2 linked regions of the Kluyveromyces lactis genome follow. The main gene of each other region encodes a partner of the protein of the gene in region 2 in a complex. Links are inferred from orthologs where the notes say so. Each region holds a gene or a part of one and is shown on either strand. Other genes may lie near its edges.

The links.
Region 1: RPS12 (region 2) and RPS20 share a complex: the UniProt entries of both Saccharomyces cerevisiae proteins name them as parts of the small ribosomal subunit. The link is inferred for Kluyveromyces lactis from reciprocal best matches to the Saccharomyces cerevisiae genes RPS12 and RPS20.

What each region holds. Positions count from the first base shown.
Region 1 is NC_006042.1:2,365,718-2,377,055, forward strand, and holds RPS20 (40S ribosomal protein uS10), read left to right. Parts: upstream 1-7,002; coding exon 7,003-7,356; downstream 7,357-11,338. Other genes in the region: APM2 (Apm2p), read right to left, coding at 1-1,240; MCO14 (4a-hydroxytetrahydrobiopterin dehydratase), read left to right, coding at 1,342-1,869; NFU1 (Nfu1p), read right to left, coding at 2,020-2,790; KLLA0_F25498g (uncharacterized protein), read left to right, coding at 3,279-4,784; KLLA0_F25520g (URC4/urg3 family protein), read right to left, coding at 5,167-6,438; YLF2 (Ylf2p), read right to left, coding at 8,476-9,705; deubiquitinase OTU2, read right to left, coding at 9,899-10,852. UniProt on the Saccharomyces cerevisiae protein: Component of the ribosome, a large ribonucleoprotein complex responsible for the synthesis of proteins in the cell.
Region 2 is NC_006042.1:13,140-24,333, reverse strand, and holds RPS12 (40S ribosomal protein eS12), read left to right. Parts: upstream 1-4,883; coding exon 4,884-5,288; downstream 5,289-11,194. Other genes in the region: NDD1 (Ndd1p), read left to right, coding at 1-1,246; GPB1 (Gpb1p), read left to right, coding at 1,823-4,210; RAD17 (Rad17p), read right to left, coding at 5,540-6,652; ubiquitin-protein transferase activating protein PEX22, read left to right, coding at 6,797-7,267; KLLA0_F00286g (uncharacterized protein), read right to left, coding at 8,196-9,815; KLLA0_F00264g (RTA1 domain-containing protein), read right to left, coding at 10,675-11,194. UniProt on the Saccharomyces cerevisiae protein: Component of the ribosome, a large ribonucleoprotein complex responsible for the synthesis of proteins in the cell.

The sequences.
Region 1 (11,338 bases), about 2.4 Mb from region 2:
TTCGTAGCTGCACCTCTAAAGCTTCATGAATCTGGCGGTCCCATATTTCAAACATGCATTTAAGCCCATAATTCTTGTTTCCATGACCACCCTTCAAATTGTTAATTTTCCAAATTATCGAACCCGCTGTTATGTCGAACACAACATCTCCTATATCGCTTTTAAACAGGGGCGGCTTTTCGAGGTCAATATTCCACTTTCGAATAACTGACTTTATCGGAATTTTAATTAAAAGCTCCTTTGCACTATCCTGAGCTTTGAAATGCGTAGTTATGGCAGCTTTCAACAATAGCTTATCCTGGGTTTCTTGGTTCTTTCTAGGTTTTTGGGATAGCCCGAATGACTGTAGTTTTATAACTGGTTCATCAAGTAGCGGTCTATTCAATTTATAATTACAAAGCTCAAATTCTCCATCCGGTGGAATAAACTTAATAACTGGAGATTCTTCCTTGATTAAGGTATGCAGGTCTACGCATTCATGGAATTTTAAACGTTTCATGAAGTGTACATTCTTCTGCATCAACTTATTCAATCCTATACTCAATTGAGGCATACCAGACAAATAACTCCGGCATATTATTGTTCCGTTGATTACATTATTTCTGACCACACCTTCCTCGAAATCCATAATGAATTCTAATTTCTCAATTACATCAAGAAAGAATTCGTTCTTACCGTAATGGATACCCTTAGGACGCCATGAGACAGCAGATGTCATCGTTCGAAGAATATAACTGTTTATGAATGTTTCATCCTGGTCACCTGGTGGCAGCTCATGTTTTTCAGAGGCTGTATTCTCGGAATCATCGTCGGGTTTGATAACTTCTACCTTTATGAAATCATGTATAATATTATAGTTTGTAACCTGTATGATACCATAATCGGATGATTCCTCAATAACTTCGAAAATTAAATGGAAGTTATCTCGTACATTGAGCTTGTTAAGCTTCATGCCCATAAATTTCCTGCATAACTGGTAGATTTCATCTAAGTAATGTAACACACTTATGGGAGAAACACTATTATTCACTTGCATTATCATAGCGAAATATAGGTTATCACGAGTTATCACAGCGTAATGCCACCCATTGCCTTCGAATATAGGTTTTGTGCATCCCTTATGATGTTTAAGGTTATTCTGTAATTGAAGTATAGCATCATCAAGGAAATGGATCGGTCGTAGTGCTCTTCTTATTAGCGGTTCATACGTCTCATCGAGCAAAAGGAAACATGATGACATTATGACAAGGCTGATTTGACCATCAGTTGATAGTTAACTCGGCACTCTAAATTTACTTCAGGTCTCGGTTAGGTTTGCAGTTACTATATATGCTAGAATAAATGGCTTTGAAGGTGTTTGTTCAAAGCACTTTTGATAAAATGGTGCTTCTTGTGTTTTGTTTCTTCTCAATATTTTTAGTTAATAAAGATTTCTTACATCTTGGAATTCTATCAACTACGCATAGAGAGATGCTGGAAAAGGTAATAAATGCCACTCTTCAAGCACTGAATAGTATAGACATGTACAATAAGATAGTAAAACAGGTACCAGTGCTGTTGCCACCAAAACTTCTGACACAAGAACTCAGAAAATTGCCTAAATGGAGATTAATGGAGAATGAATTGGTTAGAGATTATAAGTTCAGAGATTTTGAAGAGACATGGAGTTTTTTGAACAAAGTTGCCATGAGGTCACACTTATGGGGCCATCATCCTACAATTACTACTACCTACAACAGAGTTCAGTTCAGACTCACTACGCATGATGTATCTGGTATTTCCGATGCTGATATCATGATGGCTTCTCGGATTGAAAAATACATCAAACAAATCGATCCCAAGAAGGGCATCCTAATAGGGGATAAATAGAATGTATTAAATAAATAAATAATAGTGTACTTCTGTTTTGCATAATACCTTGCAAATACATGCTGTCATGATTCATTCCTTGCTTAGTCTTAGTTATGCCTGTACGTTTCTTTCATTGCTAGAAAGAAGTGACATACTGGGCAATTGCAATCATCTCTTACTGCTCTCCAGCTTCTTCTCAAGTTTTTCGAACTCCGCAAGTGCAATCTTCTCCTCAGGATCCAAGATCTGAACCACGTCCTCTACTTCTTCGATGTAATGCTTTAACATAGCTTCAATACCATGCTTCAAGGTATCCTCACTGGACGAACATGACTTACATGCACCTTGTAACTTCAAATAAACTGTCCCTGTCTCCGGATTCCATCCACGGTACTGGATATCACCACCGTCGTCCATAATAGCAGGTCTGATCCTTGTCTGAATCAATTCATCGATCATCTCGCTGATCTCTTGCTCATCTTCATCGTATTCAAATTTAGGAATGTCCACATCGTACCCAACTTCGGAAGACTTTTTCACGTCGAAGAAATCTGGTAAAAACGTGGGCTTCCCACTGGCTAAATGTTGTACCAATAGATCTATCACCGTAGGAGTCACTTGGTTCCAATGAATCAGTTCATCTTTATTTATAGTGACGAAATCATCACCGATCATCATTGCTTCAACACCAGGACATTGCTGGAACACTTTAGATGGGAATGGAGCATGTTTCAAAAGCTCCTCATCAGTGTTCTTGATCTCAACACTCTGTGTGCCTTTCTCCTGTAGCAGCCCCCCATCTGTGGAAACAAATTTCAATGCATTCTCATTAGGCGTTGTAAGTGTCTTGATATGAATAGACCTCTGCCATACGGGATTCAACACCGTTCGATGTACGCTCTTATAAAACTTGGGACCAAAACTAAACCTTCCTAACATCCTCGCAGTTTACAATCCGTTGTCTTGCAACTTCTCATCCTTTCTCTATATATGCACAAACCACTTGTTAATCATCTTAGCATAAGATGAGTGCTTTGTAATACTAGAGGAAATTCCTTTAATTCGAAATCTCTTGAAAATTACGTTTTTTCAGATAATTTATGGATTGAACATTTTAGAGAAATGAGAAAATAAAAGGTCCCTTTTACAAGAAATGACCCACTAGATATCGTAACAGAACAAAATTTAATGGAAGGCAGCAAAATATACTGAGACGGTTTCCGACTGTACAAGAACAAGGTTTTTCTTTCCAATTGTGTGCTATTTATTCTTATCCAGTGGTAGCTTGTGAATTGTGGACCCTACTTTATATCCGAGGCTGTGTGATTCTTAAAGAGACGAAATAAAACTAATTGCCGATCTTTTCTTGAGAGTCTAGGAAAAAGGAGAGAATAAAGGCCTATAATTAGCTTTTGATAGACAATACGATGAATTTCAAATTGAATTGGGTCACTTTGTTTTGTACGGCCCTTTGGTTGCATTTTGCGACGGCCAATAAGGGTACTATCACAGAGAAGCAGAATCAAATCTGCAGTGGTATGTATTCTAAAGAGGATTGGAGTGGTCGTGTAGATCCATATATTTCGTTCGATTTAAAGAAATTGAACAAAGAAGGCATCTCTGTGGTGATCTTTGATTTCCAAGATTACATCCACATTGGGGCTAAGACGAAAGCGGGTGTAGTTAAGTATATCTGTGACGAAGAAGCGATAAAAGAGAATCTATGTCAAGAAAAGAACAAGAACCAGTTTATCATTTCACCTGAAGCGTATGATCCAGATAGTGATACCGAAAAGTCATTAAGTGCCGACATTCATACGTTCTATGTGGGAAATACAGGTCTTGTGAAGGACAAATATGCCATTAAGAAAACTGGTTACTATTGTGTTGGTACTTACGCTAAGGACACTGGGATCTCTTACAAGGCTGAGGTAAATTTCAGGAATAGTTTTGGTAATCTAGCTGCTTCTGAAATTAACAAATTGCCATTGTATGGGTTATTGGCAATCTTTTATGTTGTCGCTATGGCCTTGTACTTATTTGCCTTCTGGAAACACAAGCATGAACTATTGCCCTTGCAAAAATATTTACTGGCTGCATTTGTGTTTTTAACCATTGATACAATCTTCATTTGGGGTTACTATGACTTGAAGAACACTAAGGGTTCGACCGCTGGTACCACTGTTTACATGGTCATTGTTTCAATCTTGAACTCTGCAAAGATCACCATGTCTCTATTCTTACTTCTTGTTATTTGCAAAGGTTACGGTGTGGTTTACCCTAAATTGAACAAGACCACGATGAGACGTGTTCAATTTTTCTCCGTACTTACGTTTGCTATATCTGTCGCTGCCCTTATTCAAAACTATATGACTCCTTCAGATTCGACATCCATGGTCCCATTGTTTTTCTTTATCCCATTAGGCATCTGTTTCATGATTTTCTACTTCTTGATTCTACAATCCCTCGATCAAACTGTCAAATACTTGAAGCAACAAAAGCAAATCGTTAAATTGGGCATGTACAAAAAATTGATAATTATTTTTTATGTCGCCTTATTCGTTATTTTTGGTGGTATAATTCTATCCTCTTTTGTTTTAATCGGTATGAGTAGTATCGAGATGGTCGAACAACATTGGAGAACTAGATTCTTCTTTGTGGATTTCTGGCCATCCTTGGTATATTATGCCGTATTCGTTGCTCTTTCCTTCACATGGAGACCTACATCTACTTCTTATATGTTAGCTGTGTCGCAACAATTGCCAACAGATCCAGAAAATGTTGCAGATTTCGATCTAGACGATTTGCAATCTTTGGAACAAGAATGGAACCAAGAGTACGAACAACCAGCCGGATCTGAACCAAATGAAGCAGACCTAAATTTCTCAGATGATGAAAACGATAAGAAAAAGCCGGTGCAACCATCAGCCTGAAGGAATTATTTTCCCAAGGCTATTTTATCCAAATTTATCAGGGAAACAATGTGCCACCAAAAATAAATTACTTTTCTAGATGATCGTCAGAAGTTGCCACTGAACTGATAATTTATTCTTCATAAGGGCGTTTCTTCTTTATGTTGAATTCATAGTATAAGTGCGTGTGTATAGTCAAGCAGCGTCTAATTATATTCGTAAATAAAAAAATGCAATATGTCAACACATCGATACAAAAATCTACTCCGTTTATTCTTTTCAGTTCTTAACGTCACTTTTAAAAATCAAAATTATGAAACATTTATAAATATAAACTAGAATCATGACATTCAAGATAGGATATGGCAAAGTTGGAGCCAACTGTTCTAATTGCTTGAGCCTTTCAAAAAACTGTGCCATCACTGTGTAAATTGATCGGTGGCCCAGATGTTTTTGATCTAAGTTCTGCGGCAATTTCTCTTCCAGCTTTCCAGGTTCCAGCTTCTATCAACTGTGACAATTGTAAATTAGAACCTAATTTATCGTTTACTAATGGTAACAAGATGTCCAAGAGCCCAATGGTAAGACATCTCCATTCTACAATTACACCATCATCGGGCGTGAATGTTGGGATTGACGGATCATATCCATACTTCTTCGAATTAGTCAATCCAATGTTCAAATATTCTTCTTTCAAAGATAGTACACCCAAATCGTAGAACAACCCCCCGTTTCTGTACTCTGGTAGACCTGTTTGCAAGTCCTTGGAAGATATATTGAACTTGTAGCCAAATTCCTCTAGTGGTCTCAATAATGAATAACATAACCACTGCGTCAATTTATGAAATGACACGATAATTTCATCGTTTTCGGTTTTATACACCCAGCAATCGCCTAAAGGTTCACCGTTCAGAGTTAATCTTCCAGTAGGCCATATAGAGGTATATCCAGTCATTAGAACCTCCCACAACTGTTGCAAATCAATGTTTTCAGAGCCATTTAATTTGTAAAGGTGATCAATTATATTACCAGGCCTGGCATCTTCACCGAATAACTCAGGTCTTTCAGAAAGGGATTTCCCTAAACTTCTGATCAACTGAATTCTACCTTCGTAACCTTGCAAAGAGTTCTTACTACTTATCTGAAACCCTTTATCAAAATCTTGTTGACTGAAGTCTTTCAATCTAGAACCTTGTACTGTCTGAGATTTATCATGCGATAAGGCACCATCTTTGAACATATAGAAAGAGGCCACCGCTAGTCCTTCTGATCTGTTAATCTTAGTTTCTTTCTCAACAAAAGACCATTCTGAACCTGCACCAGCATCGACAATCACACTAAACGTTATCAAATCAATCAACCGTCTGCATACCTCCAAAGGATCGATGTTCTGGGCAGCCCAGGAATTAATGAGAGATCCCATTCTATCAATACCGTTACAGTTTAAATGTTGCCATCTTCCATGAACAGGAATATCGCCTAGGTTCTTGTAATCTCTTTCAATAATATTGACCAAGTAATCTGTCACTTTCGACATTTTACCCAGATCCACTTCAAAATGTGTACTGTCACCATTTTCTGTTTGCAAAGGGGGGCCGTATACTTTCTTACAAGTTTCCCTAACGGATTGAATGGATCTTAAGTACTCCAAGTCTTCGCATTCTGTGTGTGTCATGATAAATAGCCAGTATGTTGGTTTTTGACAGTTTCAACGGGAGATAATATACAATGCCATCAGAATTAGTTTAAGCGAAGTATCAACTGGGATAGAACTATTTCATTCACTAATGAGTGTATTTATATACTTCGTGGATGGTACACATACATTATCCTTAATTCAATCCTAAGTGTATTGGAACGTTAGTTTGCACAAAAAAGGCATTCTTATCTTTTGCAATTGACCTGTTTCGTTATTCTGGCAACGATTGATCCTTAATGTTCAAGAATCTCCGTCGCACCTCCGACGGATATTACCGGGGACTGCTCATTCTTTATACACCCGTACATATATGCCATGGGATTCTACTTTTTTGATATAATCATCCTCTCTTTCCTAAAACAGAATACTATATGAAAATTTCATGATGTTCTATGATGTCGACAAGCTAGTGCTCCGAAGTTGAAATTCTAAGCTCTCCAAGATAGATGAGCATTAGCATGGTATTGTTAAGGTTACTTACAATTAGATATTAAGTCTATTCATGTCATAAGAAACCAATAAAACTAAAAGGTATACACGATGTCTCAAGTTGAAAAGAAATCTGAACAACAACAAGAAGTTGTGATCCACAAGATCAGAATTAACTTGACCTCCACTAAGGTCAAGCAATTGGAAAACGTTTCTGCCAACATCATCAAGAATGCTGAAACTTTCAAGTTGGTCAAGAAGGGTCCAGTCAGATTACCTACTAAGGTCTTGAAGATCTCCACCAGAAAGACCCCTAACGGTGAAGGTTCTAAGACTTGGGATACTTACGAAATGAGAATCCACAAGAGATACATCGACTTGGAAGCTCCAGCTCACATCGTCAAGAGAATCACCCAAATCACCATTGAACCTGGTGTGGATGTCGAAGTCATCATCGCTGCCTAAACGCACCGATAATGATGTATTGTCAATATCAAATTGGCATTCAATGAATAACGGGCAGGAAACTAAAGTGTTGACCAGATTTACTGCACATCCTTTGAGTTTTCTACCGACATACCTTGAATTCAAATTTTTTTATTTTACTTTTATTCGATATCCAGGTCTCAAGAAAGCTCTTGTATCCTCATTCTCTAAGATTATAGTAAGACTCCTATAAAGTATGGTCAATTGTGTTCAATATAGGATGGAACCTTTTTCTGACACTTCAAAAAATGACAACCCACTCTAGGTAGGGTAGTTTATCGTGTACCTCTATTCTACTATCAGTGGTTAAAAAATAATCATATCCTCTACCAACATCTCACTCATATTTGTTTGGTTACTGTCTGGTTTATTGGTTGCTTGAATGAGTAACTTTTTTGTTGTCATGTGTTAGTGCCCTCCATCCTTTGTGTATAATTCGTACATATTTTTTTAATGGAATATGATTTTAATCATGGGACTTCAAAGCAAGGCATTCAAGCTGACAACTCGAAGCAGAGACTTCTGCAAATGGCCTTTCTTCCACATCACTTTGTAACCCTAATTCATGTAAGAATTTCATGAACGCCAGTTTGGATGTGTTTTTTTTTTTCTTTTCGAATTTTTTTTTTTTGAAGTTTTCTTTCAAATGTATAAGAACTCGAACACATTGATGCAACTTGATACTTGACAAAGATCGATTAAAAATACCATTCAGATTAAATGCGGATCGTTTCCATACTCGAAGCATTCGGTAATCGAATTTAAACCACTAAGATCAAGTTACTTAGGTGCTTCAGCAGAAGCATCGTGTACTTCCGCTAGGAAAGACATTGAAGATAGAGGAGAGGGCTTCTCCATAATTAGTTTAATGATGAGAAAATGTCCTTAGTGACAATGCTATAAACCCAGCTCTTCGATCATTAGAAATGAGAAGAGATACCTGTCAAACGCTCTGATAATCACTAGTAATACAATGGAAAACGAAAACAATGCCTTTACTTTATTCTTTATACATGTCGGATCTTTACAAAGCTTATATTCTTGCAGTATGTACGCCTTTGAGTCTATTATCTTGTGTTGCTATGGGTATAGCCTCTATTATTTTTTACCACTAGTAGCTTTGAAGTGGATTATATCACCGTCTTCGACCACATATTGTTTACCGCCTCTTTTGATCTTCCCTTGAGACTTCAATTGCGACTCTTGAAGCGGAGGATCCATTTTTTTGATATCATCGAATTTTATAATGTTAGCACTGATAAATGTCTTTTCTAAATCACTATGGATAGTTCCAGCAGCTTCTGGTGCCAACGTTCCTTTCCTAATGGTCCATTGACGAGCCTCAATTGGTCCACAGGTGTAAAAACTGATCAATTGCAATAACTCTCTCATTTTGATGATAATATTTGGGAGTGCTGTCAGAGGTACTTCCAACTTCTCTTTACCGATGATCTCTTTGCAAAAAGCCTCAAATTCTTGGAGATTGTTGTCCAATTCGTTGTACTTCGTTTCAAGTTCAGCACTAAACAGCATCACTTCGTCTCCAGGCGCATATTCTTGGATCCAATCCTTGATTTTCTTCAAGAATTTGTTTTCTTGCAAAAGATAATCTTTGGGAGCAACGTTAAGTAGAACCAGGGTTGGTTTAGCTGTTAGAAAGTTGTGTTTATTCAGGATTTTAATCTCTTCCTCTGTCCAGTTCTGCTTGAAGTGTGACAATTTTCTTCCCTCGTACATATGGGCCTCTAATTCCTCTAGCAATCTCAGTTCAAGATGCATTTCTAAGAATTCTGGAGAGTTTTTCGGAGATCTGTTTATCTTTTTGTTAATTCTTTCTCTTGCACCTTCCAGCCATTCGAGATCTTTCAGCACCAGTTCATCTTGCACTAATGACAAGTCTCTAACTGGATCCACATTTCCTTCAATATGAGTAATTTCATCATTTTCAAATCCTCGAACCACTTGGTATATTCCGTCTACGTGCCGAATATCATTAAGGAACTTGTTTCCCAAACCTTCCCCACTTGATGCTCCTCTTGTTAATCCAGCAATATCGAAAATGGAAAGTGTAGCTGGAATTTTCTTCTGACTCTCATAGAGTTTATGAAGATGGTCCAATTTAAAGCTGGGTACAATAACCTTGGACTCTTCGGGTTCTATAGTGGCAAAAGGGTAGTTAGCTGGATTACCCAATTTCGACTTGGTTATTGCCTGGAAAAACGTTGATTTACCTACATTGGCCAATCCAACGATGCCTGAAGCTAGATTATTTGAAGGTCGTCCCAGTACGGTATAAAACCGTTTTATAGATTGGTGAATTAGATGCATGTATGTTGGCACAAGGCAATACCTTGCATTGAGGTCAGTTGATTGAAATTTAAGTATTATGAACTATTTCAAGATTTGATTACTCAATGTATCTTATATTGACAGAATCTGAAAAAAAAAAACAAATGATGGGATGAGATGTGAAATCGAACTTCTACAATAAGACAATACGAACCAACTATTGATAGTAAAACTACAGATCATGCAACGAGTTATAATGCTCTCCGAGCGTATACGAATGTTTGTAGTATACGATCTTGAGTTCGGGATTCTTCGCGTCTTCATTTATCCTGTAAGTGGATCTTCCTGACATCAAAATGCTAATGGTACTGTTAAAAACTTTTGATAGTGCCAAAATTTCTACTTCTCCACCCCATTGGGCTGTAGTTTCCATAGTTTTTGTATACTCATCAAGATCCTTTACGGTCATTGTATTTTCATCGAAAAGATATGGGATGAAATCGTCACGGTTCTCCCTAATGAATGATGATGAAAGCGATCTCAACGAATAGACGTCCATTTCAGACACGTACTTGGTACCTGTATATTCCTCTGGAAAGTTATAATCATACTCAATGTCATTATTAGTCTGATGGCGGAGCCTCAGTTGATCTAGAATACTATTAAACAAACAGTGTCCATCCGGCTGGATATCGAATTGTTTCAAATTTAGCACTACACAAACTTTATCCAAAGAGTTTTGCTCAATATCTTTCAAGTTCGGCTGCTCGGCTGCCTCTTCCATTGCCTGTTGTTTAATTCTTGCAACCTCTGCATCCCTTTTTGCCAATCGCTCCTTTTGTCTATTCCTACGTTTCTTTCCCTGTAACTCTGGTTCTCGCTGTTGCAACTCATCGGTTTTACAAACAGATTGCACAGGATCTTGATCTAAGGACAATTGAGCTAATAATTGAGCTGGTGTGATTTCTTCCGAATCAGAATGCTCAAAAGCAACACCGTTCAACTTTGCGAGCTCTGATTTATGTCGAGTATCAAGTTCCTGTTCTAAGTCTGTACATTTGGCATTTACTTGCTTCCTCGTCTTCTTTGATGCTTGCTTCTTCAAAGAAGTAATCTGATTGGTCAAATCTTTACGTTCCTTGCGATGACGCGCAAGCAGCTCCTCTTGTGCAGTTTCAGTAGACATTCACTTATTCTTGAGAGATTGCTTCAGAGAGGAGTTCCTTTATATAACAATAAAAATTGTTAGTATGCTGAAGATGAGATGAGCCTATTCATCTCACTTCTTCATTTTCAGGTTTTTTTGGTTTTCAGTTTCGCAGACCAGAAAGAGAGATGACGGCAGGATTAGCTACGAATAAAAAAAAAATCAAAAAATAGCGCCGCTCGGTTTCGATCCGAGGACATCAGGGTTATGAGCCCTGCGCGCTTCCACTGCGCCACGGCGCTGTCAAAGATGAAGTTTTAGTTTTTCCAACGACCAGATCACATCTGCGACAACTCCAGGCAGCTCCGGAATCATTTTCTTCGTCCCGTGCCCCCGCTGTTGAAATGACTTACCCCACATAAAGTTTCAAAAAAAATGAAAAATCCGGGAGCGTGTTAGGGAATTAACGACAGACCCTGAAGGAAAGTGAGTAAACGCTTCAAAGAGCGGCTTGAACATGTTATA
Region 2 (11,194 bases):
GCTTCTGTCATCCTCGAATTCGAGAGCCTCCGCCTCCATTGTTACAGGTTCCAATCAAGGTTCTACCATCCAGACATCAGCAAACTCAACAGAAAGAAATGGGAAGTCATCTATATCTTCATCCTCATCATCATCGTCAGCGGCAGCAACTAGAACAGCAATCACTGGAAATAACATCTCTCAACCAATCTTACCTGATATAAATGAACAACCTTCCTCTGTGTTGCATTTCGGAAATTTTGCAAACGAATTATTGCTTGCGAGTCCTGAACAATTCAAAGAATTTTTGATGGACTCACCAGCAGGTTTAAACTTTTGGCAACAAAGACAAACTCCCGCCAAGACACCTCTTAAATTTGTCACTAATAATACGAATTTAACCCATCAACAAAATAACACAGGATTGATGAATTCCATTCACTCTCCATTGCAAAATATTGATGTAAACCTCATGTTCAATTCTGCTTCCAAGACTTCATTGTCTCCGCCTCGAAAACAGATGTCCTTGACGCCATACGGCAGAAGGATTTTGAATGAAATGGGAACACCGTTTACCAAAATGATGCAACCAATTTCTTCGAACAACAGCGCATTGGTTGACTTTCATCGTGCCCGAAAGCATAACTTACAGTCTACACCTACTTCAAGACCAGCTTTAAGGAATGAAAGCCCTGGATCGAAGCTATATTGCTCATCCCCTACCACCATCCAACTTCATTCGTCAGGTGTCAAATGTTCGCCTGAAAGAGATCCAAACATCGATGAGAAACTATTTCACCTTCGAGCATCACCGACACCTAAACTATCCCTAAATAAAAGTGAGAAGTTCAGACTTGACCCAAGTTTTGAACTACCGAAAATGGGATCCTTCAAAGAAGGGCTCACAATTCCGTCATTAAGAGCACCGGACACTAACAACCAACCAATTAACATTAATAACGCTAATATACATTCCAGTATGGGTACAACACATGACATATCATCTACTTCGGAAAAAGTAAGAAAACCAAAGCTTAACAGAAATGGGAATAAAAACAAATCTAAGACAAATCAATTAATCACAAAACAGAGGTTCCAAATTATAATGACCGATACAACCAGTTTTAATTCGGATGACGGAGTTACTTCGAATAATCAAGCAAAATTAAAGAGATCTCGTTCGGTTATTGTACCTGGAGAAGTTAAGAAAAAGAAGAAAAAGAAGAAAGTCTACGAAACTTCTAATATCATACCTAATTCTCAATAAAAGACAGCATAATCGACAAAAAAAAAAGGGAAATTAAATCAATGTGCTTTCCCCATACTTTCAGCAAGGAACAATGCTTGCACTTTTCCTTATTCATGTTTTATATCTACCTTATCCTTTCGCACGCCTCGCAGCTTTTGACTGAAGGCTTCGTTTTTATATTTTCATATTACTCTTCAATTCTTATGTACATCTCAAAGCATCTATATTAGTTTGTGCCGTTTCGTTTTCTTCCCAATAAAGTTGGTGATAATTCAATAAAAAAAAAAAAAAATTGGTATTCACCATCCAAAATCAGGCTATCTTGTGAACTAACTTACAAGGAGTTCATTGTATGTTGCAAGAACCTGCAATTTATGACTGCTTTGATTACAAAATCCTGCCCAGTAGCCGTGCCTTACGCCCTTCAAAATAAATAATTCCCACTTGAAAAACAAAAGACAAAAAGAAAAACGAACAATAAATATTACAATCCGCCCCCAAATCAATTAAGGAACAGTCGAATAAACTTTAAAATAAAGGGAACCTCAGATAAAGCTATTGCATAGTTTGTCAGCTCCAAATTCATCGTTCAATATGGAAGCTCTTGATCCTCTTAGTCAGGATCCCAGGCCATCTGAGGAACGTGCCATTAAAAACGATCAACCTTACCATTTAAATTATGAATGGAACGACGTCCCATCTACATTCAAAACAATCAATAAGGATGGTCAATACAAACAATTTTCTCCAATTCCTTATATCACTAGTTATATTCCTACATTGAATACGCCTGCTGCTACCGCGGAGCTTATGAAGGAAGAAAGGGAAGTAAATCTACAGAAATTAAGGAATTACTATCATAAGGAAGCATTGGACTCTTTGGCAACACGGAAAGATAGCTATGTCTCTCAAAGTACCAATTCGCCTCAGAGCAGATCTTCAAGACGTAGGACCTCACTATCCCATAGATTCTCATCATGGAACATGGATCGTCTTCCTGAAGAGCAGAAGTCCACAAATTCTTTTAGCATTGACACTACTCAGGAAAATCAGGCCACTGAGGCAGCAAAGGTTTACATTAAGTACCGTCAGAAATTTTCATCGAACTGCGACTCTTTTTCTTCCGGTGAGATATCTGAACGTGAGGAAAATATGTGGGTGCCGATTGCTAGGTGGCAACCAAGCTCTCCGGACATGGAGCCAAAGCTGTACACATCCTATAAAATCAAACTCAACGTTCCTTATTCAGAAACATGTCCAATTACTATTACTAAGCTGTATCCCCCAATTTTTAGTGACACTAGAGTGCCTGCCCTAACATATCATTCCATTGTTAATTTGGATAGCTGTTTGTATATTTTTGGAGGAATGTCACCATCCTATTCTTTCTCCGAAGTTTCCCCGGACTTATCCAGTTTTCACGTAGACGGAATAAAACACCTTCCGCCTCCATTAGACGAAACAATCATTAATAACCCGGCTATGCTTCCAAGTAATAAGTTGTACACATTTTCTTATACGTCAACAAAGTGGACTGAAGTGAATGCCACAGGACAGATCCCTCCCGCTTTAGTTTGTGTCCAGGGCTCTATTTTAACCGACAGGCATATATTCTATTATGGTGGCTTTGAAATAAAACACGAAGTTTCAATTGATCCTAAAACAAACGAATACTACATTAAAAAGCGAGCAATATTGAACGATACTGCATATATATTGGACACTTTGTGCTACAAGTTCACCAAATTACAGCTTGTTGCGCAACCTACAAAATACGTGAAATATCCGAATACAGTCCCCAGATTTGGACATCTACAGGTTTCATTGAAAACACACACCCATAAATCTACCAGAAGTTCAACATCAGGTACTGATTCTCCCCCTTCTTCATTGTCATCCTCAACAGCTGAAAAGAATTCCTCTACTAATACTTTCGAAGACCCTATGATGAATTTTGTATCCTCATCAATGGCATTGAGTTCCGATAATATCATTTCCCCAACCTCATCAAGTTCACCCGGTGTTTACAGCATTTTAATTATGGGTGGTTATAGAGAAGGCGGAGATGGCAAGTTCATACCGATATCCGATTTATGGAAGGTCGAAGTGACCGTCCTATCTCGGGGCAAACGTAACTTTTTGAAGTTTGCTGACACCGCATTAGTGACAATAATATCTAGATTACCACAAAACGCAGTTGATGAAGCATTTCTGAGGGACTATTACAAAAAATGGCCTTTACCTAGAGGTTTTATGGCATCTTATGTCGTAGATACAGACTCTTTGAGTCCGAAATCTATGGACGCAGATCTGTTAGACAGACTAATGCATAATTTCAAAATAGTTGACAATATTAACGATGAACCCGTTGTAAACGAGCCGATGATTCCAGGAAGAACCATGAATTCCAGCACTAGTCCCAAAAGATTAAATAAGTCGCTAATAATACATGGAGGTTCCGCAAATAAGTTTATTCACGGTGATATGTGGTGTTATGATTTAGATGAGGGAACTTGGACAAAACTATCATTGAAAGCCAAGGACAAAGAGACCGGAGAGCTCAAAATAGTTGAATTTCCTCTTACGGGACACACTTTTGTACATAATAAACAGATCACCGTGGTAATTGGAGGATTGAGCCAAAAAGACGTGGATTCTTCTTTATACTGGAAAGACTACAAGTATGACGAAAAACATCAACATCCCATGCATGATACCGATGGAACCTTCACGTTCATCAGTTTACCATCTCGGGTAATTAGAAACTTCGAAGTTGTTAACATCATGAATAGAGCCAGAACAAAATATACGGAAGATATGCCTTTGTCTGCGCTGAGACTATCATGTAATCCCATCGTCTACGATCAAGACTACATATGGACGGTAGGAGGTCTTATAACGGATACGGAAAGCTGTGATGTTTTCCTACGTGGTGCAATATCATTGGTAAACTTACCATTGATTGATATCCCAGGTGTATAATGACGGACTTTTCAACGGAGATATGCTGAAAGTATTTATGACATCCGTACTGTCTGCAAACAGCAGTTCAAATTCGTGAATCGTCAGAGTTGACAGAACGACTACTAGACTATAGCGCTTATTGATATTTAAACTACGAAGCGCGACCCATGCTGTTGTATTCATCACTTCTAATCTTAATGAAAAGACTTGAACAAGATTAAAATACCAGTGACTGTCATATTTGTTTGCACCCGTACATATTCCAAAATCCTCCTCAAATCTGAAGAAAACTAAAGAATTTCCAAATATGGCATCTACACGTCAACATAGTACGCGCCACCACGGACTAGTCTTAAGAAAAATGTTCACGAAAACACCTGGACATTACAGCGAAAGAAAAGGACGCAGTTGTTCTGCCCTCCGCTGTCGTCTGTTGATTCTGAAATATCTTAAGTGTTGAACGTATATAGTGCGCTAAACCTTAAAGTTATTTTTCACGGTGAATGGTGGAAGCTTTATATTTTGAATTCCCATGATTTAAGCTAATATGTTGAAGAGTATTGAATAAAACGTTTCGGATGGTCTTCTTATTAGTTTAGTATGTTTTTAGTTTTATGTTATTCTAAAGTCTTCACGGAGCAGTACCACTGTCGAAGAAGTCAATACTTTAGAAAATTTTATCAAATTAGAAATGTCTGACGTTGAAGAAGTCCAACAAGTCCCAGTCGCTGAATTGACCATCGAAGATGCCCTAAAGGTCGTCTTGAGAACCTCTTTGGTTCACGATGGTTTGGCCAGAGGTTTGAGAGAATCTGCCAAGGCTTTGACCAGAGGTGAAGGTCAACTAGCTGTTTTGGTTGAATCGGTTACTGAAGAAGCCATCAGCAAGTTGGTCCAAGGTTTGGCCACTGAAAACAACGTTCCATTAATCAAGGTTGCTGATGCCAAGCAATTAGGTGAATGGGCCGGTTTGGGTAAGATCGACCGTGACGGTAACGCCAGAAAGGTCGTCGGTGCTTCCGTTGTTGTTGTTAAGAACTGGGGTGCTGACACCCAAGAAAGAGAAATTCTTTTGGAACATTTCAGCCAACAATAAATGAGTGGATTTTGAATCTATGTTCAAATCCAATTTAACGCTTCTGTTTTACTCATTTTTCTCATACTCAACAATAACATAAACAGATTTCTTCATGGGAATATGGACATTGTTTGGTTTGATAAAATGCTCTATTTTATAGTTTGTATATATATTCTAGGGTATCTATATGTTTACAAATAGTTTCCATCTATACCTAAAATGACGTTAATTCCAACCTGATTAATTCAGCTTGTCGAAGCAGGGTTGCGCTAGAAGAATAGCGGCAAATCTTGCGAAGCAGCTTCATACCCGTCACTATTTTCCTCTTCTTTATCGTCATGTGCAGTTTTCTTCGGCGGTTGTTGTGTATTGGGAAGGAAATTATGGCGCGATTCACTTCCCATATATTCAATCATCATTACTTTTATCTCATTTACGTCTGGAAGCTCTGGAAGAGCTTTCTCAAGCATGCATATCTCAATAATTATCCCAGGATAATGACTTGGTAGATTGTTACCTGAAATGGCTCTAGTCCTCTTATACTCCTGGTCATTAGGTCTTAGTATATCCTTCGTTTCATTCAATATATTAACAGTCATCAAACCATGTACATCTCTACGTATCATGATTTTTGAAGCAATCCGAGCACTGGCTCGTATTTTGTCTAGCATTCCATAATCAAAAACACTTATCATTGGATGATCATATAAGAGGGTGGTTGAATCATTTGCGTATATTTCGAACTTCTCTAAAATCGATCTCTCATTAGGTAATATGATCTTAGATAAACCTTGTTGAGATCTTGAAATCAATGCGAATAAGGGCTTTTTGGTGGTTTCGTTATGTATCGCATAAAAATAGCAATCTTTGCATCCAATTTCCTTCAAATCGTGTAAGGCATTGTGTAAGACATCCCCTTTTATTATGCATTCGAATTGCAGTCGCGTTCTATCTAGTACCAACCCAGTGTTGTCTAAGTCTTTGAGCAGATATGTTGAGTATTCGACGCTTTCAGTGATCATGTTATCTTCGAATATTAATATGAATGGGGATCCATCCCCATTATATGTTAAAGTACACTCAATTATATCGTTCCGATCGTTACTGATATTCAAACTATCCAATACATGGTCAAGCCGCAGGGATACCTTGGTCAAAGATGTTTCAGTTATCGGGCTATAGTGAAAGGTTTGAAATAACTCCCGTGAAAGAACCAATTGGATCTTGATTACATGATTGTTTTCTTGGGCAAAGGACAAACCATTTTTATCTATGGTGATGAGCATTTCACCTTTCACTCCAAAAGGTGTTAAACAATTCAAAGCCGTCACAATATGATCCAAATGGACAGTCGTCGCATAAAAAATAGGAGAATCTATCATTGTGGGTTGCCGAAAGATTAAGGGTTCAAGATGTTGACGGTTCTCTGGTTTCTACTTATTTATGTATTGTACATACTGATATATTGTTTATAAAAACAAGTGAAATGGAATCAAAATCATAAATAGAAACCTCATTGCCATTATATGCGAGGAGATAAGGAAACCACCAATTGGCTAAACAAGTCCCTTATGAAGCAAGCCCGGCAAAAGAAGCTTTCGATTATAGCTGTTGGGGTATTATCGACAGTGGCAGTAACTGTAGGTTATTTATTATATCTGTATCGTGGCCAGCGAAACCCGAATATAAGAGACGTAAAACCAAAGTCGAAATGTTACGTTCTTACACAAGACTTGTTCGATAAGATCGAAAATTGGCAAGAAGAACTATCAAAAGACAGCGTAATGTTAGTTTTACCAGAAGTTGCCCACTTAGGAAATCATTTAAAGTTACAGCTATCGTCTATTGAACATAAGATTGTCATCTTTAACAATTCATCGGCCGTTTGGAGTGCAGTTAGGCATTTAAAGAAATACGAGTTGGTAATAAGTCGTGATAAGACTTCTGATATGCCAGTAGATCTCAGGAGGTATGTGGGACAGATTTCGCACATTTGAAATCTGAAATTTACATCAGTTTTAATGTATGCTATTATAATAGTACTATAATGTTTACATCGTAAACTTATCTCTAACAGAACTTCTGGCTGAATGAAATGGTTAGAAATCTACCATATTGAAATTTGCTATTGAACTGCAATGCATACTATGCTTGATGTTCGTGATTGTGTATTCTACAAATAAAGAGTACTCGGCTATAACAACAACATGCAAGCTGAAGGACTTTATTAAACAATCAAGTACTGTAAAAGCAGAAAGCCGACATACGCATTGTATCACCCGAAGAAGGTTACTAGATTTCTCACATCCTTACTCCTGCCTCAACATGCACTGGAATCAATATAAAAAAAAACAGCATTCCTTAACAGAATGGCCTCAATGATATAATATTAGGAACTGTCTTAGAGACAGGATGGTATAGCACAGCATAGGGCCGAAATAAAATGTTATCGCCAATTTCAAAACTGATCTTCATTACCTCTTTATTTTGGCGCTTATATAATTGATCCTAAGGACCAAAGGATAGTGCAGTGAAGTGTAGCAAGACAATGTTCTTTTGAGGAAATAATTGGACTGACAGTTATTAACTGATATTTCAGCAACTTAAAAGAAAGAGTGGCTTGTTAATGCTATTTGATATGCAGGATCAACAAAGCCATAGTAATAGCTTCCACGATAACACAAGAAATTTCTGCTTATGTGTCTTTGGAGCTATTTATGGATTGTGAAAGGCTCTATTCGTACTCGTCCACATAGCGATGCCCCATTTTCAAATATACAATATTTCCATAAAATGACGTTCTAGAAATGTGGATATATGCAGTTGAAAAGAACAGAGCTTTGGGTAAATTTGTAGAAATTGACGAACGATTTACAGAATGATAGTTGCTCCATCCCAAAATTATACACTCCTACTAAAGGTAACTCATAGTGGGTAGATAAATCTTTTGTTTTCAAAATCGGTAAGATCTAGCATGGCTAGATTAACTCTTTCGTTGACTCCTTCTGTGAAAGAAACAATACCAAAGTTGTCTTCTGGATGTTCTTGAACCCATTGATACCTTTCTTTGTTCCTTTTCGCCAAAATGTATCTGATTGTTAACAAAATAACAATATTAAGGAAGAATGAAACCACAATTTGAATAATCCAGGATGGATAGTATCTTGGGGCATCCTTTGGATTCCAGAGTTGAGGAGAAATGATGTTTGCAGCGCCATATGCCAACATAAACATTACGTTCCTGTAGAGTTTCTTGGTATAACCGGCTGCAGATGATGTCGTCCATCCCAAAGCAATAATGTATGTGATACCCTTTGAGGAGCCGGCTAAGATCATACAGGCTAACAACGCATATTTGTTGGACCAATCTATTGTAACCATCGCAATACTGGACGCAATTGGTAGAATCAGACAACCGGCTGCAATATAACCACTTTGATTTGGATAGTTGAGGATAACAAAAGCGAATATCAAGTACAGTAGAATGTCCCAAACACTCCCAGCCGCAGAAACCAATGAAGATCCTAGGTTGTCGACACCGATATCAACATACAATTGGTTCTGTTGGTATGTCAATGAATTTGACAGCATAAGAGTAAAACTTTGGAAAAAGAACAACCATGAAACTGGATCTTTGAATGTTTCATAAATTTGATATTTTTTGATTGTCTTCTGTTCAATTGATGATTCCGTTGACCGTTGCACTTGCTTTATAAGATAGACTTTTTCTTTTGTTGACAGAAACTTTGCGTTAGCAGGGTTATCAGGGTAGAGGAGTAAGACAATTATGGCAAGTATCAACGATAAACCAGCATTGATTGCCATAAATATTCTCCAAGGATAAGTGGATGTATTCGTATGCATCAATCCAAAAGAAATGAACGATGAAAGTAAAGGTGCTGCTGCTGTAGCTGCCCAAAACACTGGTTGAACAATTTCACGTTGCTCCGTAGTAAGGAACATACCAAGGGTAATCTCACAAGCAGGAACCACCACGGCTTCGGTGGCACCTAAAAAAAAACGACAAGCCATTAAACTACCATAATTATTACAGATTCCTGTCAACCCTACAATTATTGCCCAGGAGAAAATACTTCCAGCGAGATATTTTCCCAAGGGCAATTTTTGCATTAATATATGACATGGCCATTGAGCAATAAGGTACCCAGCGTAGAATATAGAATTTAAGTTGTTAAAGTCGCCTTTACTGATTCCTGTGTCTGTATAGATTCCAAGAATGGTAGTATAACCGATTGTTGATTTATCCATGAAAAGGATTAACGTAACAAGAATGGTTAATAGAGATACAGCAGCGAAGTTTTTCTTAACAAACTTTTTCTCTTCCTCCTCAGTAAGTGGTTCCACGGTAGATTCGTATTTGTCCATAAATTTAAGAAGTTCGTCAGCATCTTTGACATCAATTTTTTTTTCCTTTTTATCAATTGAATCTGAGCTAGTCTCAAATTCGGTGTATTTCCCGTTTTGCAATTTATCATCTTTATCGACTACTTCAGCATCTTCGTTTTCTATTTTCAATTCAGACATGGTAGTGTATTTTGCTTGTTTTCTATAGATGATAATTCTTTAAATCTTATATATTACGTATAAGAAAGAACAACCACACAGAATCACATATCATCTGTTAGAGAGGTCCTGACTTTATATTTGTTAAATTGTTGAAACAGCAGTATGGGTTATTGGCCCACATTGCTTGAGAGTCTCTGCAAAGACTCATTGTGTTTATCTATTTCAAAATTAGTAACTCCCGGGGTCTCTCACAAATGAAGTATTACGGTGAAGACAAAATTAAAATTATGAGATTGGTGTTACACTAGTTTAGTACGTGTTTGACTTGCTGGTAGTATTCATGGCCGTTGAGCGGTCTTAAACTTTCATCACTGTGACTTTGTGGAAAGAAAGAATATGTCTCGAAGACATTTTTACAAGGTTTGAAAAAATGCTTTTGATCGGCACCTGTAAGAGGACGCAGAGGTTTCTGTCCGACTACAGACCCTTAAAGAAAGATACGTAGCCTTTTGACATCTGTCAGGTTGGCTGTAAAAAAATAGACAGCAAAAAGTGTGGTCATCACAAAATGTGGAACTAACTATGGGTACAGTTACTGGCATATGCTAGATTTGTGGGGATAGTATACTGTCTGTACACCGTTGCAAATTTGGAATCGTGGTTCAGTACTGGAACAATTTCTGACTGCTGATGTTGGTAGTCAAAATATCGCGATCGGATAATCCTTTAAGAATTAGTCAGAAAATAGTAATATGACATTTATTCAATTTGTTTCTTATGTATCTGCTGCAACTACATAAAAATTCGTCTCACAATATCATACTTGGATATCAAAGTCCATTTCAAAAACATACACGAACTTTACTTGGGCCTTTGTTCACTTTTTATCAAAAGCTTCAGTTTGCATATAGCTGGCATCATCACCACTCTTCTCCTTGAAAGAATCAAGGAGTTTGACCTCATAAATGATCTTAAATATGTCTCCAAATTTGAAAGTAACGATCCATACCAATGAAGCAAGAATCATCATTAGCGCGTCAAACACGTACAAGAAGTACTCGTGACTGATAATGAAGCCTTTATTACCTTGAATAAATTCAATGGCACGTACAAGAGACCTGATCAGAATTAGTAAACTGATGCCCAGAAGTGTTAAGTTGAGCGTTCTCCAGTGAAGTGAAAGGTACGGAACAATAGCGCTAGTGCGCTTTACTCGAAGCAAGAAACGTAGCTCTGTGATCATGAAAAAACCGAAGACTGCAACCTGCACGAATAATCCAACAACGATGATGTTGGACCCAGTTTTTGATTCACTTGACGTGTCAGCATTGGCCATGATACCGGCACCTGCACCCTGCACAAAGAAACTTAAAACATCACCAATCACAAATATAGTT